Linked DNA regions of Anolis sagrei. Each later gene encodes a partner of the first gene's protein in a complex. Links are inferred from orthologs where the notes say so. Each region holds a gene or a part of one and is shown in the gene's direction. Other genes may lie near its edges.

Region 1 (10,870 bases):
AGGAAATGTTTTCCTGCCAGAAGATTGTTTGAGTTGGCTTTTTAATTAAATTAATAAATCCCCCAATATTTTACAGTGGACAAATGTCAGCATGCTGGAAGAAGCAAAGACCACCAGCACTGAAGAGATGCTCCTCTACCATCAACTTCGCTTGACTGGCCACGTTGTCTGAATGCCCAATCACCATTGCCCAAAGAAGTTAAACTACTTTGAACTCAAGAATGGGAAATTGAATGTTTGTGGACAGGAAAAAAGATTCAAAGATGTGCTTAAAGCCAACTTTAAAAACTGTGGCATAGATACCGAGAACTGGGAAGCCCTGGCCCTTGAGCGCTCTAACTGGAGTCAGTTGTGACCAGCAGTGCTGCAAAATTTGAAGAGGCATGAATGGAGGGTAAAAGGGAGAAACATGCTGAGAGGAAGGCACATCAAGCCAACCTTGACTGGGACCACCTTCCATCTGGACTCCAATTTCCTCATTGCGGGAGAACATGCGAATCAAAACTAGGGCTCCACAGCCACCTACAGATCCACCGCCTAGACACCCATCTGGAAGACAATAATCCTTGAGCTATAACGGATCGCTTAAGTAAGCATTCCCAATGAATTGGTCAAGCCTCTTGAATTAAATAAGATCCTGTTGTGAGTTTGGGGAAAACAGACCTTGCCATTTGGGAGTTATAGTTGCTTTAGCAAATGCAACTAACATGGATTAGAAGGCACGATCATCAAGTTTGCAGATGACACCAAATTGGGAGGGATAGCCAATACTCCAGAGGACAGAAGCAGAATTCAAAATGACCTTAACAGATTTGAGAGATGGGCCAAAAGTAACAAAATGAAGTTCAACAGGGACAAATGCAAGACACTCCACTTAAGCAGAAAAAATGAAATGCAAAGATACAGAATGGGGGATGCGTGGCTCAATAGCAGTATGTGTGAAAAAGATCTTGGATTCCTCGTGGACAGGAAGGTGAACGTGAGCCAACAACGCCATGCAGCAGCTAAAAAAAAGCCAGTGGGATTTTGGCCTGCATAAATGGAAGTATAGTGTCCAGATCCAGGGAAGTCATGCTACCCCCTCTATTCTGTCTTGGTCAGAGCACACCTGGAATATTGTGTCCAATAGGAGGGTGACTAAAATAATCAAAGGTCTGGAGAACAAGCCCTATGAGGATTGGTTTAAAGAGCTGGGCATGTTTAGCATTCAGAAGAGAAGGCTGAGAGGAGGCATGATGAGGACCGTGTATAAAGATGTGAGGGGAAGTCATAGGGAGGAGGGAGCAGGCTTGTTTTCTGCTGCCCTGGGACTAGGACGCAATGGAATAATGACTTCAAACTACAGGAAAGAAGATTCCAGCTGAAGATTAGGAGGAACTTCTTAACTGCGAGAGCGGTTCAGCAGTGGAACTCTCTGCCTCAGAGTGTGGTGGAGGCTCCTTTGGAGGCTTTTAAGCAGAGACTGGCTGGCCATCTGTCGGGGGTGCTTTGAATGTGGTTTTCCTGCTTCTCGGCAGGCGGTTGGACAGGATGGCTCATGAGGGCTCTTCCAACTCTATGACTCTATGACATATAACTATAAATTAAAACCATTGAAATCATACTAAACATGAAAGATAAACATTTGGAGAAATAAAAAATAGAATTAAAACATCTTATTATTAACATTAATATCACATAATCCAGAATCGTGACCTGAAGCATTCCAATTGTCAACGCACATATATCCAGGCAGATAATCCACAATATCTGCTTTGAATTGGGTTCTCTGAGTCCAGACTGCCATATAATCCAGTTCAATGTGAATTTTATATAGCTGTGTGGAAGGGGCCTAAGAAGTGTTTTGGGGAAATTATTTCCCTTCTTCTAATCAAAGTTTGACCAGTCTGTGGCCTGCTTTTTTCTGGGTTATATGGCTTTGTGGAAAGGACTTGGGATTCACACTAGGCAACATGTGGACTGAGGTATTCTCGGAGTTACAGTAACATTTTAAGGTCTGGAAGGGAGAAAAAAAGTTACTTTGTGTATAAACATGCATGGAATTGTGATATAATAGACAGAGCTTATCTACTGCTGTCAAACTATCAGAATCTCTTGTATTGCTGTCAAACCATCAGTATCTCTAAGGACTCTACTACACTGCCATATAAAATCCAGATTACCTCCTTTGAATTGGATTATATAGCAGTGTAGACTCATATAATCCAGTTTAAAGCATGAGTAGATTGTCTGCATTGATATATGGCAGTGAAGAAGGGGCCTAAGAAATAAAAGCATACAAAATATTAAATTCACAGATTATTTTTTAAAAAAAAATCAGATTTAAAAAACAACTTCATTGTAATAAATCCCTACATTATGAAAAAGGCAACAGTGCCCCCTACAGGAGAATATCTCAAACTGGGAAGCTTCAAAAGTTTTTTCACTTCAATTCATTGCCATTGTTTTGCTATCAATCACTGCCTTATAGAATTGAGCCCCCACCCCCACCCCCACCCCACCCCACACACACAAGTGTAACACTCCAATTTACTGTATTTTCTGGCATATAAGACTATTTTTAAACTCAGGAAAATCTTCCTAAAAGTTGGGGAGTCGTCTTATTGCTGGGCGTCGTCATATAGAGTGCGTGCTGAAACTTCTGAGCCAGGCTGGAGAATCTGTAGTCGCCACATATGGTGGGGGGGGGGGGGGGCTCAAAACCGGCCACGGCTGCATCCCTGCCATATGTGGCAACTGTATGAAAATAGCAAGGGCGCCGCCGTACAAGTACAGTAGAAGAAAATCCACTCATTGGGATTCATGGAAATAAGTGACTTAACGCAGTTCCAATGATGAGGTGAGGGGGCATCTCACCGGGAAGGTGTAAGTGTAGGTGTCCGGGACACCCGGGGTATGGAAAAAAGAAACAGAGCTGAGCTGTGCCCAGAAAAACACACCTCTTTTACCTGTCTGGTCCGCCCTTGTATCCTATTACCCTACCTCCTTCTCTGCCTCTCAGATCTCGCTCCTGCAGTGAAGTGGCACAGCCGTGCATGTGTGAGATCTGAGAGGCAGAGAAGGAGGTACGGTAATAGGAAAATAAAATCTGATTTTTAAAATTTTTACAGTGTTCCCTTGCTGTTTCGCAGTTTGCTTTCTGCGGACTCGCTGTTTTGCGGTTAGGGTTTAGAATATTCTAAACTTAAAGCCTAACCGCAAAACAGTGAGTCTGCGGGCTCCAGGGCTGCTGGGGTGAGGTGGGGAAGCTGGCCTCGGTTGGATCGGCCAGGGCCGGCTTCCCCACCTCGCTCCAGCAGCCATGGAGCCCTGTGGAAGTCCAGCGCAGAGCTGCAAAGGCTGCTGGGGCATTTGGCCCTAGCCGATGCAACCAGCGGATTGGCCAGGGCCAGCTTCCCTATTTCGCCCCAGCAGCCTTTGCAGTGCTACCCTGGACCTCCATGGCTGTCAGGGCGAGATGGGGAAGCCGGCGTTGGCCAATCTGCTGGTTGGATTGGCCATGGCCGGCTTCCCCACCAGCCATGGAGCCCTGCGGAGGCCCTGAGCAGCCTGTAAAGGATGCTGGGGTGAGGTGGGGAAGCTGGCCCCGGCCGATCCAGGGGCGAGGCCTGCTGCCAGTTGGCCCGCTGGCCAAGCGGCGAGAGAGTTCCTGCCACTCAGGGGGCTTCTGGGAAGAAGCCTCCTGCAAGCAGCATGGCCAGCAGGGCACCCACCGCCGGAATGGCCCTTGCCCGGTATATTCTAGCTGTCCCCTCCCATGCATTGCTGTGGCCCAGTCTGTGTAAATGTGTCTTGTGTGTGTATATGTATGTGTTTGCATTTATATATGTGGTTTTGTGCATACGGTGTAATGCATTTTTTATGTTTTGGCTGTTTAAGTTTTTTCTACTATGTTTTTCAGTGTTTGCTCACTTGTCGACCTGATAGGTGTATTGTGTCCAAATTTGGTGTCAATTCATCCAGTGTTTTTTGAGTTATGTTAATCCCACAAGCAAACATTACATTTTTATTAAGAGAGAGAGAGAGAGAGCGTCCCTACATCACGGTTTTTCACTTATCGTGGGTGGTCCTGGAATTTAAGGTCCGCAATAAGTGAGGGAACACTGTATTTTGTGTGCGTTGGAAGAGGGGTAGTCTTATATGGTGATTATATCTCAAACTACATTTTAACAGGAAATGTTGGGGGTCGTCTTATATGCCCGGTTGTCTTAAACGTTGGAAAATATGGTACATCCAGAAGCTTTGTTTTGCTTTGTTTGTTGCTTTACAATACTAAAATATGTGGTACCACCTAATTTAGCTGACGTAAAGAGTGACGGATCAAGGCTGAGGGTACATCTGACTTACTTACTTACTTAGGCGATCCTTCGTTGGACGAGTAAGATGGTCTTCCTTGATGACTATTTTTGTGGGTTTGTGGGTGGCCTTGGAGCCCTATTCTTGACCCGCATCTTCTCCCACAGTGAAGGCATTGGTTTCCAGGTGGAAGGTGGTCCCGGTCGGGGTTGGCTTGACGCGCCTTCCTCCTGGCATGTTTCTCTCATTCACCCTCCACTCGTGCCTCCTCGAATTCTGCAGCACTGCTGGTCACAGCTGACCTCCAGCTGGAGCGGTCAAGGGCCAGGGCTTCCCAGTTCTCAGTGTCTATGCCAGAGTTTTTAAGGTTGGCTTTGAGGCCATCTTTAAATCTCTTTTCCTGTCCACCAACATTCTGCTTTCTGTTCTTAAGTTCAGAGTAAAGCAACTGCTTTGGGAGGCAGTGGTCAGGCACCCGGACAACATGGCCGGTCCAGCGGAGTTGATGGCAGAGGACCATCGCTTCAATGCTGGTGGTCTTTGCTTCTTCCAGCACGCTGACGTTTGTCCGCTTGTCTTCCCATGAGATTTGCAGGATTTTCCGGAGGCAGCGCTGATGGAATCATTCCAGGAGTTGCATGTGATGACAGTCCACGTTTCGCAGGCATATAGCAGGGTTGGGAGGACAATAGCTTTATAGAGAAGCACCTTGGTATCCCTACGGATGTCCCGGTCCTCAAACACTCTCTGCTTCATTCGGGAAAATGCTGCACTCGCAGAGCTCAGGCGGTGTTGTATTTCGGTGTCGATGTTGACTTTGGTGGAGAGGTGGCTGCCAGGGTAGGAGAAATGGTCAACATTTTCTAATGTTACACCATTAGGTTGTATCTCTGGCATTGAGGAGGGGATGGCTGGCGACTGCTGGAACAGCACTTTGGTTTTCTCGATGTATGCTTCTGTGAAGGTGTTTAGAGTGGCTTGTAGATCTTCTTCTGAATGCGCATAGACGACGTTGTCATCAGCATACTGATGTTGTTGTAACCTTGGTTTTGGCTTTCAGTCTGCTGAGGTTGAATAGCTTGCCATCTGTCCGATAGATGATTTCCACTCCGGTGGGAAGCTTCCCATTAACAAGGTGAAGTATCATAGCGATGAAGATGGACAATAGAGTTGGGGCAATAACACATCCCTGTGTTATTGCCTCTCCATCCACGAAGAGGGAAACAGGGAAATATCTGAATAACCCTAACCCTATCCCAGGCATGACCAAACTTTGTCCCTCCAGGTATTTTGGACTTCAATTCCCACAATTCCTAACATGCCTGATCTTGAGCATTACCTTATTGCCCGATCTACACTGTTGAAATTAATTAATACAGCTTCACCCCATTGTCACAGTTCAATGGTATAGAATCCTTGGGAGTTCTAGTTTGGTGAAGCAACACTGCAACACGCAGGATTCCCTAGCACTGAGCCATGGCTATTAAAGAGGCGCCAAGTACATTAATTCTATTTACCAAATTCTATTTACAATTCCATTTACCAAAGTAGTGCTTTTTCCAGGACCGAGCGGGAATCGAACTCAGACGCCCAAATGCTATAGTCCAACTCTCAAACCACTACACCACGGTAGCTATACCCCAGCTTCCTTAGACCGGAAGTCAGGTGCAGTCAATCCCTTCAATTTGTCTACTCCTACGTCAGTCTTCAGAGGCTCCTGCTGATGAAACACTCCAAATTTTAGCTGTCTATAATATGCCTGATAGAAACACTTTAAATTTCGTACAAGTTCTTAGTTGCACGGCGAAGTACACTAAGAATAGTTAAGGCGTGGGCGATAATATCGAGAGGTTTATTCTTCTAGACCACCGAGGAGGGAAACGGAGGGGCGCCATTGGAGCAGGCACGAACAAAGACAGAAGTATTGGTCGCCGTGGATGGAAAGGTCCAGCCCGGCGAAGGGTCCTTCCTCGATAGAGTGCGAGTGGCGCATGCGCTCTGAGGTGGTTCTCTTCCAGTCAGCCATGCCGACTGTCAGCGTGAAGCGAGATCTGCTCTTCCAAGCGCTGGGAAGGAGTTACAGTAAGAAGGAAGGGGAAGGAGAGGAGGGCTGTTGGGTGTCTTTGGAGCACTCCTTCCTTAGGCCTGAGGGGTTGCCAAGGAAATGTCATTTGCTGCTTCAATGTCAGGACTTTGAATGGGTGCTTCTACACAGTAGCATTAACGCAGTTTGGAACCGCTTTAACTGCCACGGCTCAATGCTATGGAATCCTGGGAGCTGTAGTTTAGTGCAAGGCCAGCCCTCTTTGGCACAGAAGCCTAAAGGCCTTGTAAAACTACAGCTCCCATATTTTTTTCGTCATGTCAGAAGCAACTTGAGAAACTGCAAGTCGTTTCTGGTTTGCGAGAATTCGCCGTCTGCAAGGATGTTGCCCAGGGGACACCAGGATGTTTTGATCTTTTACCATCCTTGTGGGAGGCTTCTCTCATGTGCCCGCATAAGGAGCTGGAGCTGACAGAGGGAGCTCACCCGCGCTCTCCCCTATGGGTCTTCAGTCCTGCTGGCACAGGGGTTTAACCCTCTGCGCCACAGCTCCCATGATTCCATGGCAATCTGCACTCGTTCTATAGTATTGATGCACTTCATGGCAGTGTTTCCTAAATCTTGCTATTCTGGACTTCAACTTCCCTCTACGTATCTCCCTCTACGTGTCTCCGTCTACGCGCCACCTCGTAGTTTAAGATCCACTGGGGAGGCCCTGCTCTCGGTCCCACCAGCCTCGCAAACATGACCGGTGGGGATGAGGGACAGGGCCTTCTCGGTGGTGACTCTGCCTCTTGTGGAATTCGCTCCCCAGCAAGATTAGATCGCCGTCCTCCCTCCTTTCCTTTAGGAAAAAACTGAAATCATGGTTTTGGAACCAGGCCTTTGGCTAGCAGGCACTTTGGACACTGAATTGGACCATATGACGATCGTTATGATAATGGAAATGGCTACTATGAATGATTAATTATTGTTATTGTTTTAATGTATTGGGTATTTATGGTTTCTATATTATTGTATATTGTGTTATTGTGGCATCTAATTGCTGCCTGTGTTAGCCACTCTGAGTCCCCCCTCCGGGGTTGAGAAGGGTAAGGTAGAAATTCTGTAAACAAATAAATAAACTCACTACCTCTGAGGATTCTTGCCATAGATGCAAGTGAAACGTCAGGAGAAAATGCCTCTAGAACATGGCCATATAGCTCGGAAAACCTACAACAACCCAATAAATAAACTCCCTGAATTCCTAACAGTTGGCCAAGTTGACTAAAGCTTCTGGGAGCTGAAGTCCAGAATATCAGGAAGGCCAATGAGATGGAGAAATCACAATTTGATGTGTCCTAGATGTTGTCTAAAAGTGTTTCAGAAGCCTTAAATGACTTTAGTTCAGGCATGGGCAAACTTCAGCCGTTGGGGTGTTTTGGACTTCAACTCCCACAATTCCTAACAGCCTACCGGGTGTTAGGAATTGTGGGAGTTGAAGTCCAAAACACCCCAACGGCTGAAGTTTGCCCATGCCTACTTTAGTTCTTCAAGCCCTTTGCGAAAGCCCTTTTCTGTTTCTCATTTTTTTCCATGTAGGTGGAATGTTGCTCTGTTGTTGAAAAGAGGCTTTGGGGAGAATGGCAGGAGTATGTTTTGATCCTGCAGATGCATGTACAAATTGGAAAGGGAAAGTAACACTGGGCACAGAAAATATGTGATGTTTGTGCCAGTGAAGGGGCTGATAAGGAAAGCAAGAAGACCACACATGAGGTTGCTGTCAGTTTTCCGGGCTGTATGGCCATGTTCCTGAAGCTTTCTCTCCTAACATTTCGCCCACATCTATGGCAGGCATCCTCAGAGGTTGTGAGATCTGTTGGAAACTAGGCAATTGAGGTTTATATATCTGTGGAATTTCCAAGGTGGCAAATTGCAACATTCACACTTGCCTCAAGCAGACAAGAGTTCTTTCTCCCACCTCGGTCATTCCACAGATATATTAACTTCACTTGCATAGTTTTCAACAGACCTCACAACAGACCTGACATAGCTGTGGGCAAATCGTCAGGAAAGAATGCTTCTGGAACATGGTCATACAGCCTGGAAAACTCACAGCAACCCTGTGATTCCGGCCATGAAAGCCTTCGACAAATCATTCCACACATAAGGGTTTGTTTATATGAGAAAATTCTCTTCTCAGTTGACAATATCGTATGTTATATTGTCATTCTGGAAAGAGCACTGCATGTGTGAAGAACAAGTGATGTTAATATCATAGTCATCTGGACACTGAATCCTAGAATCAGTGAATTGGAAGAGACATCAAGAGGCATCCAGTCCAACTCCCTGCCATGCAGGAAAAGCACAATCAAAGCAACCCCCCCCCCCCCCCCCCGAGAGATGGCCATCCAGACTCTGTGTAAAGGGATTCAAGGAAGGAGCTTCCACCACACTCTGAGGCAAGAGAGTTACACGGTTGTACAGATCTTACAGTCAGAATATCAGAATATCTGCTTTGAACTGGGTTGTCAGGGTCCACACTGCCAGATATTCCAGTTCAAAGCAGAAAATGTGGGGTTTTATTCAGCTGTCCTAGGGCTTTTCTACACAGCTATATAACCTGGAATATCAAGACAGAAAATCCCACAATACCTCCTTTGAACTGGATTAGCTGAGTCCACACTGACATATATTCTAGTTCATAGCAGAAAATGTGGGACTTTATTCAGCTGTGTGAAAGGGGCTGCAGGGCCCTTCCACACAGCCCTATATCCCAGAATATTAAGACAGAAAATCCCACAATATCTGCTTTGAACCGGGTTATATGTGTCCACACACAGATAATATGGGATTTTCTGCCTTGATATTCTGGGATATAGGGCTGTGTGGAAGGGCCCTCTGTCTCCAGGGCAGCAGAACCTGTCTTTTCTGCACACCATTAGGACACCATTGTCAGTACTGCTGGAGTAAACCCAAATTGTATATCAAGACAGAATAATACTCTTTTATTTATTTTTTTAAAAGAGGACTTGCTGAATAGTTTTATGTATATTGGAACTAATTATAGGATGAAAAATCTGATGTACTATATTGTGATTTAATTTCAGCGGATGAAGAATTTGATGAGCTGTGCTTTGAATTTGGTTTAGAACTTGATGAGATTGTAAGTAATTGCTTTTATTTTTATATAGGAATATATAAACGAATGCTGTAGTACTTAGGAAACTGCCATGAGAGAGTAAAAATCCAGTGTAAGCTTTTATGGTTTTTAACCCGTTTCACCAGTTGTGAGACCTGTAAAAAAAAAGCCATGTAAACTAAATTAGATTGTACATGGTGCAATCAAATTCCTCTCCTTCTAAAACCATTATTACCCTATCCTGTAAATAGCTTGGCCTTATAATGAAGTCTCAGAACATTTTATAGTCTGGATGTTTTGTCTTAAATTCTCAATACCCTGCGAATAGGATAGCAGGAAGTAAACAATGCATCTTGTATCTGTAGCATACCTGTAAAATATTATAATAATGTTGATTTACCGAATGTATTTTAACTTGTTTATGGTGAGTTAGTTGCAATAAGAAGAGTCTCCAAATTGTGGGATTTTAAAACACTCAGAAACCATTGGCAACCAATCAATTAAGTTTATATTATGTTGTCTGTTCTGTACCCCATCAGGTTGTTGCTACTGGAACTGGTATAATTGGAGCAGTGTTTCTCAAACTCTGTCCAAAACATCTGGAGGAGCACAGTTTGAGAAACTTTGAACTGGAGGAAGTAATTGCTATCATTATGTACTATTAAGTACATATTGTTAACCATGGCATCAGTTATCTTTGAGGTAGCTTGTAGCAAGAGAAAGGTTTCAGCTTGATGCAAACTAGGATGTGTTTTCTTTATCACAGGCTAAAATCATGTGTGCAGTTATTAGAAGATACTTGATTGAATTTAGGTGACATTTTTGCTAGTCATGTTTAGGATTATCAAACATGATGATTTGAGCTGATTCGGACTAGGTTGATTCTGATTTGTATAAGTTTTTAATTTGTAAAAAGCTATGTTTCAAATATTTCTGTAACTGTTAATCTGTGTATGAGAGCATATTAAACTCATTGTATTTTCCAATTGACACACATTTATTGTACAAGGGTTTTGAGATGTATTTCCTGATTTTTTTTGTTCATTTCAGACTTCTGAGAAGGACATAATAAGTAAAGAGAAAGGTGATGGAAAAGCAGAGGGTGCATCAGACGTCATTCTTTATAAAATTGATGTTCCTGCTAATCGCTATGATCTCCTTTGCTTGGAAGGTCTAGTCAGAGGTCTTCAGGTCTTTAAAGAGAGGTAATGTGGTATTTGGAAATATTATTTTTATGCTATTACTAGGCTGACGTAGTTGACAATCAGAGGAAGCACTTAAATTTGCTTTAACCAGAAAAGCATTTATGCAACTTGGCAGTTGATGCTGAAAGCCAGCAAAGCTTATTTAGAAAGAAGAAACAAAGTATTCTGATGTTAGTTGATTTCTAAAGAGAGAGAAGTAATTAT
Region 2 (10,217 bases), on another chromosome or scaffold:
TGTATCCTTCATGACTGATACTAATTTACAGTTCTTAGATTCTCACACTGCTTGCTTTATTACTTGCTGAAATAGACTATCATCTCTGAAAGTATGTGTGTTTCAATAAAATTATGTTATGCTAGATTCCTTTGTGTATGCACACCTTCAAGTTACCTGTTGATTTATGGTGACTTCATGAATTTCATAGGGTTTTCTTAGGCAAAGAATATTCAGAGATATATAGGGTGAGGCAGCATAACTTCATTCAGTCAGTTGAAGATGTAGCAGAGCGTTAGTGGTCTTGTTCGAGAGGCGGGAGTATAAAGCTACTTTGAGTTCAGTCACCATCATGCGTTGCTGTTGAGGCCTACTTTTCGAGCGGATTTGGAGTGGCCGGCCCGCTCTCCAGATTTGGCCCCTTGTGATTTTTTTCCTATGGGGCTTTTTGAAATCCCGTGTTTATGTAAACCATCCAAGGACCGTACAAGATTTGAAGACCAACATCCAGGAAGAAATTTCCAACATAACGCTTGCTATTCTGGCAAGAGTCATGACAAATGCCAGAAATTGGTTTACTCAGTGTATGGAGAATAGAGACTGGGGGACGTCTCCTACCTAATTTGATCTTCAAAACTACGTAAAAGAAAACTTTAGGTATGCGCCTACATTATAATTTTTTCTGATTCATACAATGGGTTTTATTAAGTTTTGAAAAAAGGAAGTTATGCTGCCTCACCCTGTACTTAGGTAAAGGTTTGTCAGGGTAAAGGTTTTCCCCTGACATTAAGTCCAGTTGTGTCCGACTCTGGGGGGTGGGGTTCATCTCCATTTCTAAGCCAAAGAGCCGGCATTTTCCGTAGACACCTCCAAGGTCATGTGGCCGGCAACACTGCATGGAGTGCCGTTACCTTCCTGCCAGAATGGTACCTATTGATCTGCTCATATTTGCATGTTTTCGAACTACTAGGTTGGCAGAAGCTGGGGTTAAGAGCAAGAGCTCACCCTGTTCCTCAGATTTGAACCTGTGACCTCAGGTCAGTGGTTTAACCCACTGGGCCACCAGGTGCTCCTGATATATACTTAATCTGGATGCAAGCCCACAGTACTTGGCAAGGGTTAACTTTGAGTGAAAATATGAATAGTTTGAAACTGATCTAGATAATCAACTTTATCCAGAAGCCCCCTTGAGCTGGGAAGTCACCACATACTCAAAATCTTGCCCAAATTCAATGTTAAAGACTGGTTGATAACTATCCAGAATGGTGGGATCTTGAGAGGGTTTTTTTTTTTTTAAAAAACCAATGGTTGGAACTCCACTGCTGCAAGGGCATCCTAACATTCTACAAACGGTTTTCCAAATCTGGGATGCTTCAGATACATTGGCTAGCTATAGAGATGGCAACTACTGGGCTTGGACAAGGCTACTATACAAGTTATTCACTAGTAGAAGTACGCATCTTGTCCTGCCTTAGCACTCCAATGTCTCTTATGCCCACTACTCATTCTTACTGGTTTCTTATTTGGTCCAGTGTTCATTTAGCCTTCCTATCTTCTCACTCCGCCCACCCCCTTTTAATGGGGAAGTAGGACCTTTTCTCTTTCATTTAACTGTCTGAAGGCCCTAAAATATGTAAAGGCACTCCAAAAATAACACTAAAGCAGCCCAGAGGCCCTTTGGAGAAATGCATTTTTTTTTCTAGACATACAAAGAAACATAACATAACATATCTAATGGGAATTACACGAGGAGTCATAGCACAGTGATAATATTGACTCTGTCATTTTCAATTTTAGAGAGGAAGAAAAGGCACATTTATTTGCTGGCAGATGTTGTTTTAAAATAACTGGCAGAATGGATGACCTTGATTGTCAGGGGAACAAAGTTTTCACATCTGTGCTATAATTACGTAATATGATCTGATTTCCTGTTTACTTACAGTGGAAGTGGCCTGGGAAATGCAACAGGCAGTCGCTTGAAGGAAAGACTGAGATAAGACGCTGTTCTGAGCTTGCTGACCAATCAGCATGGCAACAGCTGTAAAATGGAAAGGCCGATACTCAAGAAATGTGACCTTTTTGCCTCTGTCATTATGGAACGGAACAAGATGGCTATTTTGACATTTACAGAGCAAAATGCCACCTCCTACGATGCTGGATATTGTACATGCATTTATGCTGGCACCAAGACATACTACTTAGTCTATGATTTTACACTCTCAATTTCTGACAATTTGCCAATAAAATATTCTGGTTGGACAGTAGCCGTAATTAATTAGCTATAATAAAGAGAAAAAGGAAGTGTTTATGTGCAGGTCAGCAGAGGTTTTAAGACCAAGCCAGTGGGTGATGTATTGTGTTGCAATTGTTTTTAAGTTTGACTTGCTTGTTTAATGCAATTTTAACTAACTTGTTTTAATAATTGTATGCTTGAATTTATTTTAATATTTATATTTTATAGGTTTATATTGGGTTTTTTTTAAAGATTGTGAGCTACTTCGAGTTTTGATCAAGAGAGAAAATGGGGAACTACTACTATTAATACTATCTAATTCATTTCATATGCCCACTTAATTTACATTTACCTAACTCCGATCAATCTAATCTGTTATTTTGTTTAAGAAAACAGTATTTGAAATTGTACTAGCAAGCTGAGGGCCTTTCCACACAGCCTCATATCCCAGAATATTAAGGCAGAAAATCCCACAATATCTGCTTTGACCTGGGTTATCTAAGTCCACACTCAGATAATGTGGGATTTTCTGCTTTGATATTCTGGGATATAGGGCTGTGTGGAAGGACCATGAAACTGAGAAAAGAAATGGTTAAATCAGAAATGTTATAAGGACCTTTCTCAGCATCGTTTAGTAGGTGACACTGTAACCTAACCTAACCTAGACCAGGGTTTTAAACTGAAGACCCCTTTCTCCCTGAGAAATTTTTAGGAGACCCCAGGTATATAAAATAAGTATACAATCATTTACTGATAACAAATTAGCAACTGCGAGGCTTGCTAATTCTGGGTTATATGGCTGTGTTTGGGATGATCTAAATTTCCCCTTTACTAATGTTGTTTAAATGTGTTTCATAGGATGGTTGTTATTGCTTTTCTAACTATTTGTTTTATACTATTTACACTGTATTTTGTTTAGATTGCATTACTTACTTATTACAAGGCATTGGATATTTGCCTTTTTATGTGAGTCGCCCTGAATCTCCAGGGGGGACAGGGAGGAATATAAAGTTTGATCTGGTTGTTATTTTTTTTGATGCCATGGAAAGTTGGGCTTGAATCCAGGGGGTGCTGTTGCTCTATGACAGTGGTTCTCAACCTGTGGGTCCCCAAGTGTTTTGGCCTACAACCCTCAGAAATCCCAGCCAGTTTACCAGCTGTTATGATTTCTGGGAGTTGAAGGCCAAAACATCTGGGGACCCACAGGTTGAGAACCACTACTCTATGATGAAGAGCTGTCAGGACTTCCTCCTTCATTTTTTAGCGGTACCTAATTTCTCTAATTACAGCTAAAGCTGTTTTCGAATTGCTTAGGTAAACAATGAGCTAGGGTGTCATTTGGCAGCTCATGCCAAACCCGGGGTTCGAACTTGGAACCTTTCTGGTTGATAGATCTTACAATTGCTGACGATTTACCAGCTGTGCTAAACCTCCGGCCCCTTGGAAATAAATCTATTTTACGAAATCAGGGTGCCTGAAACTCAGAGATGACTATGGACCCTTCTACACTGATGATCAAAGCAGATAATCTGTACTATCTACTGGATAATCCAGATTATCTGCTTTGAACTGGATATGAGTCTACACTGCCATATAATTCAGTTCAAAGCAAATAATCTAGATTTTTCAAAATATATATTTTATTAGAGATGAGGGGGGGAAAGGGGAAGGTATTTTCGTTCTACAGGTAAAGTGGGAGAACAAAAATCTATATAAATAAAAATGTAATGTTTGTTTGTGGTATTAACAGAACTCAAAAACCAGTGAGCCAAGTGACACCAAATTTGGACAGCATACACTTAACAACCTAATGTATGTCATTCACTCAATTTTTTAAAATTTTGTCATTTGGGAGTTGTAGTTGCTGGGTTTTTTAGTTCACCTACAATCAAAGAGCATGCTGAACCCCAACGAAAGAATTTGGCCAAACTTCCCACACAGAAACCCCATACTTAAGGCCACCCAGTCCAACTCCCTTCACCAGGGCAAGAAAACTTAATCAAAGCCCTCCTGACAAAGAGCCATCCAGCCAAAGATATAGATTTTTTGTGTGTGTGTGTCAGGAGTGTCCTGTTGTGAGAGAATTGGCCGTCTGCAAGGACAGCATCTATTTATTTTTTTTGTCGTGTCAGGAGCAACTTGAGAAACTGCAAGTTGCTTCTGATGTGAGAGAATTGGCTGTCTGCAAGGACGTTGCCCAGGGGACGCCTGGATGATTTTGATGTTTTATCATCCTTGTGGGAGGCTTCTCTCATGTCCCCGCATGAGGAGCTGGAGCTGATAGAGGGAGCTCATCCGCCTCTCCCCGGATTCGAACCTGCGACCTGTCAGTCTTCAGTCCTGCCGACACAGGGGTTTAACCCACTGCACCATCGGGGGCTCCGTGATATAGATATGATTATATAGATATAGATATGATTCACACACATACATAGAGTATCATAGATTTGAAAGGGACTAGTAGAGAAGGACGATGATATGTTGCATGTTGCAGAGTGGGCAAACCAGACACTCTCCACATCAACACTGACAAAGAAACCACAAGAAATACTGTTTTCCCACAAGCATAAAGACATTACATATATTAGAAACCAACACTTTCTCATTACTTTATTTTCCAGATCACCAGACTGGGCCACAGCAACACGTGGCAAGGGACGGCTAGTATGATAGTAAAGTAGGAAAATAAGATATAAAAAAAGAGGAAAAGGAAGAGAAGTTTTGAAGATTGTCAGAATATAACGAGAAAAAGAAAAAATACAAAAAACCGGAAAAACTATATATAATAATCTGGATTATTAAAGAGCAGTGTAGAAGGGGCCTGAGAAAAGCTTAAACAGGTCGTTATATTTACAACCCTGAGGTAAATTCTGGACAATGCTAACACTGACCGACTTGTCTGGTATGTTTACGAGACAATGTGATGCACTTTAGTCGACTTTTGCTACGCACATGGCGCCCTCGGTCTGTATGAGAGGAACCGGAAGTTCACTAGATATATCCAGCCGGCTTTCCTCCCTTCCGGCCCTCCCGCCTCCCAAGCCCTCCGCTTCTAAGACGACTTGACGCGACAGGAAGCCGTTTCCGCCAGGGACGCTCTATCACAGGAAGCACTCTATGCGCCGGAAGCCCTTAGTCCTCACTTCCGCTTTCCTGTCAGGAGGCGCCGGGAAGATGTCTCCCACCATGGGGGAGGCGGCTGCCAGCTCTGGGTCAGCGGCGGAGCTGCTTTTACGACGGCTTGAGGCGGCGGGGGCTCACGGCGAGGCCGGGATTTGTAGCCTGGAGGCGGCCGCGGCCCTCGGTTTGGAGCACCAAGTGCTTGTCGGGGCGGTGAAGAGCCTGCAGTCGCTTGGCGAGGTAAGAGGGCCGAGGGGGAGGGGCTTGCTCATGGCCACGCCCCCTCGAGATGCCACTCTCTTGAGGGGATCCACCACCTGAAGAGCTGACCTCGCCTCTTCTGTTGTTTCATTGGCTGTTCAACATTTACACAAATGACCAGCCACTGCCAGAAGGGACAGAGTTTCATCTATACTGATGATCGTGCCATTACCGCTCAAGCAGGGAGCTATGAGATGGTTGAACAGAAGCTCTCTGAAGCTCTAGGTCAGTGTTTCTCAACCTAATGCCGCGACCCCTTAATACAGTTACTCATGTTGTGGTGACCCCCAACCATAACCCTAACATTATGAATCGCCATGTAAATAATGATCTGCAGGATGTATTTTCAGTCACTAGAGCAAATTTGGCACAAATACCCGGTATGCCCAAATCTGAATACTAGTGGGGTTGGCGGGGAAATTGATTCGATCATTTAGGAGTTGTAATTGCTGGAATTTATAGTTAACATGTAAACAAAGAGCATTCCGAACCCCACCAACAATGGAATTGGACCAAAGTTGGCACGGAGAACTCCCATGATCAACAAAAAATACTGGAAGGTTTGGTGGGCATTGACCTTGAGTTTGGGAGTTGTAGTTTGCCTACATCCAGAGAGCACTGTGGGCTCAAACAATGATGGATCTGGACCAAACTTGGTACGGATACTCAGTATGCCCAAATGTTAACACTGATGGGGTTTAGGAAAAATAGACTTTGACATTTGGGAGTTGTAGATACTGGGATTTATAGTTCACCTACAATCAAGGAGCATTCTGAACCCCACCAATGAGAGAATTGGGCCAAACTTCCCACACAGAACCCCCATGACCAACAGAAAATACTGTGTTTTCTGATGGTCTTTGGTGACCCCTCTGACACCCCTTCACGACCCCCTCAGGGTTCCCGACCCCCAGGTTGAGAAACACTGCTCTAGGTGCTCTTACAGCCTATTACAGGGAAAACCAGCTGATTTGTAACCCATCTAAAACACAGAGATGTGCTTTTCATTTTAAGAACAGGCAAGCAGAACAGCTTCAGGCAAGCAGAACTGCAGAACAGAGAGGGCCTTTTCGGTGCCCCCCCCCCCCCAACTCTGGAACTCACTTCCCAGGAACATCAGACATGCCCCAATTCTGGCAGTCTTTAGGAGGAATCTGAAAAGGTGGTTGTTCCATTGTGCCTTCACAGAATAAGGAAAACTCTCAGCAATATGCCCTCAAAATGCACTTTACCACTGCATTCCCTCATTTCTCTCTGAAAATCCTATCCCAGTTATATCCTACCTTGTTCACGTCAGCATTATTTTTTAATTTTAATCTATTACATTTGGCCCGGCCATTGGTTTTAAATGCTTGTACGTTACTGTTGATTGTTTATTGCCTATTTTTTGTTTATGTGATTTATTTGAATTGTATTGCATTGATTGTTTTATTGATGTTTTGTTTATTGATATTGTGGGCTTGGCCTCATGTAAGCTGCACCGAGTCCCTTGGGGAGATGGTAGCGGGGTACAAATAAAGTTTTTTTATTATTATTATTATTAGCATCCTGAGCTCTGAGGATTACCTGAGAAGGAATCCCACTGGAGCATTGCAGCACACCCAAATACCAGGAAGTCACTCTGGACTGTGCTCTGACTTACAAGAAGCACTGCCTGAATATCAAGCAAAAAGTAGGCGCTAGAAACAATATCATACGAAAGCTGACTGGCACAACCTGGGGATCACAACCAGATACAGTGAAGACATCCACCCTTGCACTATGCTACTCTGCTGCTGAGTACGCATGCCCAGTGTGGAACACATCTCACCACGCTAAAACAATGGATGTGGCTCTTAATGAGACATGCTGCATTATCACGGGGTGTCTGCGCCCTACACCACTGGAGAAATTACACTGTTTAACCCAGGGGTCTTCAAACTTTTTAAGCAGAGGGCCAGGTCACAGTCCCTCAAACTGTTGGGAGGGCTGGATTATAATTTGAAAAAAAACATGAATTAATTCCTATGCATACTGCACATATCTAATTGGTAGTGCAAAAAACACTCAAAAACAATACAATAATTAAAATGAAGAACAACTTTAACAAATATAAACTTATTAGTATTTCAGTGGGAAGTGTGGGCCTACTTTTGGCTGATGAAATAGGGTTGTTGTTGTTGTGTGCTTTTAAGTCATTTCAGACTTAGGTTGACCCTGAGCAAGGGCTGGGTAAATGACCTTCGAGGGCCGTATCCGGCCCCCGAACCTTAGTTTTGAGGACCCTGGTTTAGCTGGTATCGCACAACCTGCCATCCACAGGGGAGTAGCAACCAATAATGAAAGGACTAAGGCAGTGACATCTCCTTCCCACTCCTTGTTTGGGTATCAGCCAGAATGCCAACAATTTAAATCAAGAAATAGTTTTCTAAGATCTACAGAGACACTCGCTGGAACACCTCAGCAAGCAGGAGTCCAAAAGTGGCAGGCTAAAACCCAGAACCTCAATCAATGGCTGATACCAAATGAGAGACTCCCCCCTGGGCACACAGAAAACTGGGCGACTTGGAAGGCGCTGAACAGATTGCGCTCTGGCACCACGAGATGCAGAGCCAACCTTAGAAGGAGAAGGATTATATTCAGTGTTGACAGAAATGCACTTCCACTGCACTGTGATGTTTTAGTGCAAGGTCAGTCCTGTTCTGACTTGAAATCAGTTATCTCAGGAGATATCCCAGTAAAGATGTCTTCTAAAGGAATAATGGTAAGAAATGTTATCAATCAGTCATGGCTTCCATAGCTTCATCATATCTCCCTGCACACAGTGAGCTTGAGGACGACAGAGTGAAGGTGAGGGTTCATGTGTTGGAATGTGAATAGATGTCCCTGAAGTTTAGAAAACTAGCCTATGAGAGAGAAGGTTGGGCTAGAATAAAGCCAGAATGATGTTTTCCCTGACATATATGCACACACACACACCAGTGTACAAAAACAATTGACCATGTGAACCTCTAGGTCAGATGGGAGTGGTTGATCCAGACACAGGCTTCTCTTCTCAGGATAAACTTGTTTTGTGTGGGAAATATGATGCTTTCATGGTGTTTCAGATGCTGTTTCAGATGAAAAGGGAAGGGAGAGGCTGTATGTTTGTGGGCTGGCTCCTGGTTAGGACCACAGTTACTGCTTTTTTTTCTTTCAAATCTTTTTTCTCCCTCCCTGCTGCTACTTTCAGCCCCATCCCATTTCATTTAGGTGATTTCCACCCTTGAAGATGTTCTCATTTTCTGTTTAGGTGATTGAGGCAGAACAGCGTACATCCAAGAAGTGGGAGCTGACACCTGAGGGCCAAGAAATTGTACAAAAAGGAAGCCATGAAGTTAGAGTCTTTAACAGCATCCCTTCTGAGGGTCTGGTCCAGAGTGAGCTGATGGTAATATTTTTTTCTCATATACTGATTAAACTAGAGTGTAAGTGAAGAATGAGTAGACTTTCCTTATCTGTCCCCGTTTGAATATTTGATGGAGGTCTCAGTTCAAATTTCTTCTCCTCCAGATGTACTTGAAGCAGAAAGAGCACTATGTTTCTTCATTATTTATATTGGCTAGGGCTTGTGATGGGGGGCAGGTTAGCATTTGACATTGCACCTGTGGGCTCATGTTTCCTTTGTTTCTCTGTAGAAGCTCCCAAGTGGAAAAGTGGGATTCAGCAAAGCAATGTCCAATAAATGGATCAAACTAGACAAGGACTCAGAAGGTGGACCTCGGATCTTCCGGGTGGTAGGTCACTCTAGCTCTCTATCTACCTTGTGGATTTGTTTCTGCAGGACAGTATCTTGCCTTGTGTTCAAAGTGGTTACATAGTTTCCTTAACAACATTACTGTTGAATGCAGCACTATCTCTGTATTACTACTACTGTGTTTAATAAAAATTATTTATATCTCACTGTTTTCTGATTATTCTGGTTGAGTTAGAGTAAAATTATGACTGTAAAAACAATGCATGTCAAAACATTTTACAAGGCAATAAAACAGCTATATAGAAACTTTAAAAAAACCCTTAAAATCTGCACCCGCATAGCATTAAAAGCCAATCCTAGTGGGTTTGTAAAAGCCTGAAAGCATAAAAATGTTTTGACCTACTATTTTAGAAAGAGATACAATCTTTTTCAGATGATCTTTTTAGATAACTTGGGCCTAGTAAGCTGTCTAGGGCTGTGTGTATCAAAAACATGAAATTTTGAATTGTGCCCAGAAATGGATTGATTGCCAATAGAACAGTCGCAACAAGAGAAGTATGGATGTTAAAGATCCAGCATTACGAGCTCTGGAGATTCCAACATCCCAGGTAGCCCAGGCAGAGATACTGTTGAGCAGTAGGGTGGGTGATATAACAACAGAACCTCTAGTCCAGCCTTCTTCAACATGTGGCCCTCCAGGTGTTTGGGCCTGTATTTCCCAGATGCCTAGCCCGCTTGTTTGTTGTTGTTCATTCGTTCAGTTATTTCCGACTCTTCGTGACCTCATGGACCATTCCACGCCAGGTCTCCCTGTCGGCCGTCACCACCCCCAGCTCCTTCAAGGTCAATCCAATCACTTCAAGGATCCCATCCATCCATCTTGCCCTTGGTCGGCCCCTCTTCCTTTTT

Evidence for each region.
Region 2: the proteins of FARSB (region 1) and FARSA are in contact, whole or in part, in a crystal structure (PDB 3L4G), measured with the Homo sapiens proteins. The link is inferred for Anolis sagrei from reciprocal best matches to the Homo sapiens genes FARSB and FARSA. Residues at the interface, in NP_005678.3 of Homo sapiens: Glu26, Phe29, Gly32, Leu33, Pro68, Ala69, Asn70, Ile150, Arg152, Asp259, Thr261, Lys262, Arg305, Lys316, Lys317, Val318, Gly319, Ile359, His360, Cys362, Asp363, Glu366, Ala369, Ile370, Tyr374, Asn375, Ile377, Gln378, Met379, Thr380; in NP_004452.1 of Homo sapiens: Ser221, Gly222, His223, Leu224, His225, Leu227, Leu228, Arg231, Ser232, Arg235, Leu239, Gly242, Phe243, Thr244, Glu245, Pro247, Asp249, Asn250, Phe251, Ile252, Glu253, Ser254, Phe263, Gln266, Gln267, Phe277, Phe278, Leu279, Arg280, Asp281.

Annotation. Positions count from the first base shown.
Region 1 is NC_090023.1:233,509,315-233,520,184, reverse strand, and holds the start of FARSB (phenylalanine--tRNA ligase beta subunit), read left to right. Parts: upstream 1-6,269; 5' UTR 6,270-6,287; coding exon 6,288-6,378; intron 6,379-9,429; coding exon 9,430-9,485; intron 9,486-10,511; coding exon 10,512-10,666; intron 10,667-10,870.
Region 2 is NC_090022.1:162,416,544-162,426,760, reverse strand, and holds the start of FARSA (phenylalanine--tRNA ligase alpha subunit), read left to right. Parts: upstream 1-5,314; 5' UTR 5,315-5,329; coding exon 5,330-5,572; intron 5,573-8,864; coding exon 8,865-9,002; intron 9,003-9,249; coding exon 9,250-9,348; intron 9,349-10,217.